Coturnix japonica: one gene and its partner. The protein of the gene in region 1 purifies or fractionates together with the protein of each later gene. This does not show direct contact. Links are inferred from orthologs where the notes say so. Each region holds a gene or a part of one and is shown on either strand. Other genes may lie near its edges.

Region 1 (3,358 bases):
ACAATAAAATGCCAACCTTCTCAGTTGTGGACAGCTGATCCTGAGCCTTAAGCAAGTCATGCTTTGCTGTCACCAAGTCCTCTTCCAGGATTTTTTGGTTTGCAGTAGAATCATTCAAAGTCTTCTCATAGTGACATTTCAAAGCTGCCACTTTATTCTCCAATTCAACGATATCCTTGTTTCCATCAGTCTTCAAAACAAGAATTATTTAAAATATGTTAAATGAAAACGAATACTTGAAGTATCAGATGCAAAATGCCACAGAAAAGGGAATGCCTTAGTTTTTATGAATTACATTTGCTCTGTTCCTGTAAAGCACGACCTAGAAGTGCTATAGTGAGAAAGTCATTTAACAAAGGAAGTTAACTAACAAAGTTGGATAAAGCATTGAATAATTTTTAACTAGGAAAAACTTGTTAATAAATGCATTTTAAAGACAGATGAAATGGCTCCTCTGCTCAGCTGATGTTTCAAGATGTTGTGTTTCCCTTCTTTAGATGTGAGGTGAAACCACACAATGAAGCATCTCACAAGAAGGGAAGGATGGAAGTGTTAAGGACTATGTTATCAGTCAGGTACTGATACTGCACTGTTCAAGAGGAATCTTCACAGCCTGTGAAGCAGCTTTCTTGTTTCCTTCTTAGATGAAACAACCCAAACTCTTCTGGCAATCGGCCCTGGGTAACAAAACATATTCATGTAACTGTTCTGTGGATTCCGTTTTAAAAACCACTCCCAGGTACAAAAGCTAAATTTCGTACTCTCAAAACCACAGGGAGTCAGGATGAGGCTCAACTGCTGGCACCTTAAAAAGAAGAGAAATCTAGAACTAAGGAAGCTCTGCTCCTTTGTATTAAGTGTAAGAAACCAACTGATAATGGTACCTGCACAGAAGAAAGTGAATTCTGAATTTTGAGATCGAGTCCAAGATAAAATATAGCATTTTCTCCAAATAACTAATACATCCATTAATTAAATGAAGTTGTATACATTAGAGCTATATTTCCTAGCTGGTTTCAACCACATACACATGCACACAGAGTGAGAGCTGGACAAAAAAGTGACAGATAAGAAGTAAGTCTGAATATGAAAGCTGCAGGTACTTGGCTGCCCTGACATTCAGGCAAATTCATATTTAACCAGAAAAGCAGGAATAGATTTGCTTCCAATCTTTTAAAACTACAAGTACCATTGCCCAGGATTTAATAAAATCCTTTAGTAGTAAACCTTTAATAATATAAGGCTTAGGGAAACACATAAAGAAAATATATTCAATATATTGATTTATATTATAAATCAAATTCCCTATTAAACAGTATTATTGAATACAGACTTTGAAAGTTACTAGATATAAGTGATAAGTACTAAGAAAAACAAGTACATACCATAAACCAGTTAGTAAGCAAAATAAAAAGAAATGAAGATTAAAATAAGGAAATCAAAGTGGAAATGTTTTATGATACTGAATTTCAAGTCTGTAAATGTAAATACAGCTGGAATTCAAGAGACTCTCAAAACAATGGGATTGAAGTGCTCTAATGTTGCTAAAAGTTTGCACTGAAATGTTTCAGATTTAAGAAACAACTGCAAAATGACACACTTTGGAAAATTCTAATGATCAAAATAAGGGTATGGATAAAAATATAACTTACAAGAGTGCTGACTTTTTAGGCTTTTTTCTGCAGCAAAAAAAATCGCCATGTTTGAATCAACGTTTACACAAAAGGTTAATAACTTCAAGTAGTAAAAAGGTGATCAAAGCTTTGTCACCTGAGCCCTGCTCACTGCCTTTTGTAGCAAAACTCCAACTAATCTTTAGGAATATGGGATCAGGACACATCTGTAAGCTCTTAGGTTTATAAAGTCTGAACTGAGATGAAGTAAGTCTATGTTGATATTGGATGTGATAATGCTTGAATTAGTGCTTTATTGTTGCCATATAAGAGATTAAGTGGGAAGGAACACACAGCTATATTTGTATCTGTTAATACAGGCATCGATCTTAAGAATATGTATTCTGGAATACTATTTTCTGACAGTACCTGGAATGACACTTCTGATTAGAACAACCCGTGGTCTATTTGACACAAAATGTATGTCATAAGATAAACCAGCAGATTGCAGTATCTGCTGACTGACAGAGCAGCACGTGTATGACAATGTTAGCAGGAACACAATACTAGCCTGTAGTTTTCTATCTGCCAGAAAAAGAAACATACCATGCAGACCAACATTTTAGATGCATGAGCAATAGCGTAAAGGAACAGCGACTGGAGTGCAAATCCTAGTTATATTTACCTTTTGATCTCCCTGGATCATCTGCAAATCCTTCAGTGACTTCTCCAGTTTGGATTTTTCATCTAGTGCAGCTGTAGCCTGTAACACATGGAAAATGTAACACCTCGTATATGTGTTTTAATTAAAAACATGAGAATAATATCCATGCAATTCTAATTTAGATTTTGTAAAGATATATCACCAGCAGTAAGCATCCGAGCTTACAGGAAATTTACCTGTGTTTCTATTGTCTTAAGTCTGGTCTTCAATTTTTCATTCTCTTCTTGGAGACAAGCAACTGTCTTTGGGTAAATAAAACAGAAAGAGTTTACAGACTTGTGCTATTTTGAATTTTCCAAATACTTCCAGTAAGAAAATGTGTTTCACTGCATAGGAAAGCAACTGTGCTTGTAAATGCTTATAAAAAAGGCCTTGCTGATAAGGACTACTGATTCGTTTGTAAAGGCTACCTTACAAATTATTGTTTCCTGCCTCTGTCAGCAAAAAATCTAAGTCTCCAGTTCTGCTGTAACCTGCAGGTTCTCTCACTTAAATTTACTCCTTAGTTTACTGAATTGGGATTGGTGCAGTCACTCTCCTGTAAGTATCAAGATTCCCAATATACCAAACTATGCATCTGGACATACAGTTTTCTCTACTGCTATTCACTTGTATTTTGAATCAGTAGGTATGTAAATATTTTGCAGATCATTGCAACCTTTCAGTACCTAAAGGGAGCCTACAAACAGAAGGGGAGTCAATTCTTTACAAGAGTAGATAACAGCAGGACAAGGAGAGAAGATTTAGGTTGGATTTCAGAGGAAAGTTCTTCACTATGAGAGTGGTGAGATGCTGGACTGAATGAAATAGGACTGACTTGCATAGCTAATGTTTGATAACAGAACTGTTTCAGCCAGACTCAAATTTTAATTTACTTCCTTGTTGCAATGTAAGCCTCTTAAAACATAAACTATGTACTGATTTCTACTCATTTCACTAATTAAATTGGAAAATAAGTCATTGAAGAGCCCAAAACATCTTTGTAAAAGGAAGTTCAATACAGTAATACATATGAGAGTCC
Region 2 (4,256 bases), on another chromosome or scaffold:
AAGTTGTAACAGTTTTAAATTGGCTGACTTTTTCTGATTCAAAGGATGTTGGTAAGGAAGAGGAGAGAGACTCAGAAGCTGTGAGTTTTGTTGCCAGCTCTGCCACACTTTCCCTGTGTGATCTCGGCATATCACTTCAGAAACAAATCTCTTTTGCCTTTTCTCTCTCCAAGGGGGTACTAACATTTACCAGCTGTTTAGCAGTGTTGCCGTGATTAATTCATTAACCTATGTGGAGGGCTTTGATGTTCTGTGTATGTGTGAAGCACAACACTGGAGTTGGTTGGATCTCAGAGAGGATGAGGAAGAGGGAAAGCCTTCTGCCCCCCTTACTTAGCTCTCATGGATGTTCTGGATGAGCAGGGGATCATCTGAAATAGGCACTAATGCGACTTATCATTTAATGAACGTTTAGCAGACTTTGCTAATAAGTATTTCTTTCCATGGTTAATACAGGTGAATTAAAGGAAATCAAACAAGATATCTCCAGTCTTCGCTATGAACTTTTGGAGGACAAGTCCCAAGCGACAGAAGAGTTAGCGATTTTAATACATAAACTCAGCGAGAAACTCAATCCCAATATGTTGAGATGTGAATGATGCGACAAAGGAACCGTGGCTTCGACTACAGCACAACTATTTATTGGCAATAATATTTCAGTATCTCATACTTGAAAACAAAAAAAAAAAAGTATTGTAGATTTTTAGCACTAAATAACTTTATGTACAGCTGCTCTGGAATTTAGTCATAGGAAATTTTATTAACTCGTCACCAAAACGTTGTTGTCTTCATCTTAATCATCTGAAAGTTAACAACTATCAAACTGTTGTGGTTTTTTTTTTTTTGCATTGATGCATTAAGAAGGTATAGAGATGAGAATTACTGATATTTTAGCAGGTTTATGGATACATGCTGAGAATCCTTTGCACTGAATTTGCAAGAAAAACAAATGAATAGATGTAAGGTAGTGTCGTGCTCCTGGCAGCAGCGAGGTGGGAACAGGGTGTTTGAGCGTGTGGTGGATCAGGTAGAGTGGGGTAGGGTTGCGCTGCTGATGGCAGTATGAGCTGAGGAGCAGGTGAGGGTGAGCACACAGCTGCTGTGCCATAATGCAGTGTGTTATTTCCACTGGTGAGGTGTGGTGGAGGTTGGCTGTTATTTTTTGTAACGACATTTGAAGGGACCGTGATCTCAGTCCAAAGCTCCTCTTCATGCGGTAGAAATGATTTTTTTTTAATTCAGACTCTGCGCAGGGCCGGTATTTTGTGACCCGATGCCTCGGATGCTTCATTGTTAAATAAAATATTGCGATACTTTACTGATACTCGGCCTGCTCCTGCTCGGCCCGTGTGGGGGCGGTCCCGCGGCCGTTGCTCACGGCACTAAGCGCAGCGCCGCCCAGTCGCCGGCCACGATTGTGCGGCTGGGAGCGCTGCCGTACGCGGGCGACGGTTGCCGCGGTGACGGGTAACGGCAGCTCGGGGCCGGGCCCGGCGGAGCCATGGAGCTGAGCCTGAGCCGCGTGGACTACATGCAGGTAACCGGCAGCGCCGCTCCCGGGGCCGAAGGGCCGGGCGAGGTGAGTGAGGGCCGCGCTTCCTTCTGCAGGTGGGCGTCACGGCGCAGAAGACCATGAGGCTGCTCCCCGCGTCGGGTCGTAGGGCCACACAGAAGGTACGGGCCGGCCCGGCTCCTCTGGCGGAACGTGACGTACCGAAGTACGGAACTGCGGTTAGCGGAGCGAAGGGGTGTGTAAAAACCCTTCGTGTGCGCTGACGTAACGCTGTGCTCTGCTTTTGAAGGTGGTGGTGGGTGATCAGGACGGAGTGATTACCTGTTTCGGCATAAAAAAGGGGGAACCTGTGGTAAGTGTCAACGTGCTGTTTAAAGGGGGTCTGGAGCACAGGCCTTATGAGGAGAGGCTGAGGGGGCTGGGATTGTTCAGCCTGGAGAAGAGGAGGCTCAGGGGAGACCTTATTGCTCTATAACTTCCTGAGGGGAGGTTGTAGTGAGCTGGGGGTTGGCCTCTTCTCTCGTGTAATCAGTGATAGAACTAGAGGGAATGGTTTTAAGCTGCGCCAGGGGAGATTCAGGCTGGACATTAGGAAGTATTACTTCTCGGAAAGGGTAGTCAGGCATTGGAATGCACTGCCCAGGGAGGTGGTGGAGTCACCGACCATGGGAGTGTTCAAGAAACGTTTGGATGTGGTGCTGATGAATATGATTTAGCTGGGAAGTATTGGTAATGGTTGGACTAGATGATCTAGGTCTTTTCCAACCTTGATAATTCTGTGATTCTGTAAAAACGGGCTTTGTAAAGCTTTCTCCCTAACAAATCCAGAAGGCATGCGGTTAGCGTTGCTTTTTGTCCCCACGTACTTGGTAGTATCCTTAGTTTTGCCAGTGGCTGTAAAGCAAGTTTAGCATCCTTTGCGTGAAAAGTTGACTGTAATCACAGAATATGATTGCGATTGCGTTTCTTCTTTACAGACAGTGTTCAAAACGCTGCCCGGCCCCAAAATTGCCCGCCTGGAGCTGGGGGGAGCTCTTAATACACCTCAAGAGAAAGTTTTTGTGGCAACAGGATCAGATGTCCGAGGTTTCACCAAAAGAGGGAAGCAGTTCCTCTCCTTTGAAACTAACCTCACCGAGGACATCAAAGCTATGTGTGTACAGTGCCTGCCGCTTCTTGTCTCCATGAAGTTATTCTCAATCTATACTTGTATGGGGTTTTTTTAACCTTATTGTGTGCATGTAGGCAGCACTCGGTGCTGCTCTGGCTTTAGCTTGTGCCTTGGCATGTAGGAAGGAATCTGGAAAGTGACGGTGCAATTGGAAGAGTGTGGGGGGGCTTGGAAGGGGCTTGGGGGCCTTTCCAGCAGTGTGTGTGTGTGCAGGTGAGTGTAGCTGGGGTTATTGGCTTTTTAGCAGCATATTCTTTCCATCTGCCCTGCATGTAGGAGGTCAGGAATAAGATTCTTCTCTTGTTTTTTTGTATGTTCTTGGTTTAAGGTGCTTGTCTTGTAAAAGGTGATGTGTGGAACCTGCAAGCAATAACACATTCATATACTAACCTAACAAAGACATGACTGCAAATATTCTGGCAACATGCTACAGTGTTTTCTTTTTCTCAGGCACATTTCAGGAGCAGATCTGTTTCTTTGCGCAAGCTATATCTATAACCACTACTGCGACTGCAAAGACAAGCACTACTACCTGTCAAGAGATAAAATCAACGACGTTCTCTGCCTTCCTGTAGATAAAGTGAATTGCATTACCCCAGTACTTGCGTGTCAGGATAGAGTCCTCAGAGTTTTACAGGTTAAAATATTTGCTTGTTTTATGTGTTGACGCCATAGCATTGGATTGATTCTTATCGAATAAGCATAAGCATAACCTTATTTGTAAGTGTTGCTGTCTACAGTGCTGGTACTTGTAAAATTAGGATTGATTGATTGATACTACAAATAGTCTCTGGAATTCATGGATAGAAGAAGTAAAGAAATTGTTATAAGTGTTTACACAAAGGAATTAAATGCGTGAGTTGTTGTAAGTTTGAAAACTCACAAATTATTGCTGTAGCAAGTCTGAGTGATATCAAATGGTTTAGCAGAATTGTTTCTTAATGCCACATGTCCTCGGATTATTATGTCATAGTTATTTTAAGTGGTAACACATTTCAAGATGTGCTTTTCTTATAGCCATGTTTTAGTTATATGAAGTTTTCTCTGTTTTGGCTTAAAGGTGATTTTATGCAAGAAAATCTGTGTAAATGAAACATGTCCATATTAAAAAAACAATTTTGTCTTTATTCTTGATTTCTCCTTTTGAATAAGAACTCATTCAAGGTAGTTCTCTTTGTCCCCAGGGATCTGATCTACTGTATGAAGTAGAGGTTCCTGGACCACCTACTGTTCTTGCTCTACACAATGGAGATGGAGGTAACAAATAATGGACTTCTGCTGTTTTTGAGATTGTAACGTTTATATTTGTTAATTACATTTCTTCTTGATTTGAAGCTGATTTGAAAAGGTAGTCAAAAACTATGTGAAACCATATCTTACTGCCCATTCTGTTTATAGAATGTAGTTGTAGAGCATCTGTATGTGTTATGGTGAGAATGGAATTTAGTTGTCCCATATACTGAACTGATGAACAACTCTTTGGTGAGAAGGGGGAGTACTTGAAGATACTTGCTTAAATTATTCCTATCTGGAACACTGGAGGAAAAACATACTTTTAGCAGTATTAAGGGC

Evidence for each region. Proteins that work in one complex are often made in the same cells at the same time.
Region 2: the proteins of LZTFL1 (region 1) and BBS7 purify together in Homo sapiens (affinity purification with mass spectrometry; 3 studies listed by BioGRID and IntAct, counting the BioPlex papers as one, with this or other methods). This does not show direct contact. The link is inferred for Coturnix japonica from reciprocal best matches to the Homo sapiens genes LZTFL1 and BBS7.

Annotation. Positions count from the first base shown.
Region 1 is NC_029517.1:39,361,631-39,364,988, reverse strand, and holds part of LZTFL1 (leucine zipper transcription factor-like protein 1), read right to left. Parts: intron 2,580-3,358; coding exon 2,514-2,579; intron 2,377-2,513; coding exon 2,299-2,376; intron 191-2,298; coding exon 17-190; intron 1-16. UniProt on the Homo sapiens protein: Regulates ciliary localization of the BBSome complex. Together with the BBSome complex, controls SMO ciliary trafficking and contributes to the sonic hedgehog (SHH) pathway regulation. May play a role in neurite outgrowth. May have tumor suppressor function.
Region 2 is NC_029519.1:48,256,570-48,260,825, forward strand, and holds the start of BBS7 (Bardet-Biedl syndrome 7 protein), read left to right. Parts: upstream 1-1,397; 5' UTR 1,398-1,501; coding exon 1,502-1,537; intron 1,538-1,608; coding exon 1,609-1,674; intron 1,675-1,802; coding exon 1,803-1,865; intron 1,866-2,490; coding exon 2,491-2,666; intron 2,667-3,134; coding exon 3,135-3,321; intron 3,322-3,868; coding exon 3,869-3,941; intron 3,942-4,256. Other genes in the region: TRPC3 (short transient receptor potential channel 3), read left to right, coding at 457-599.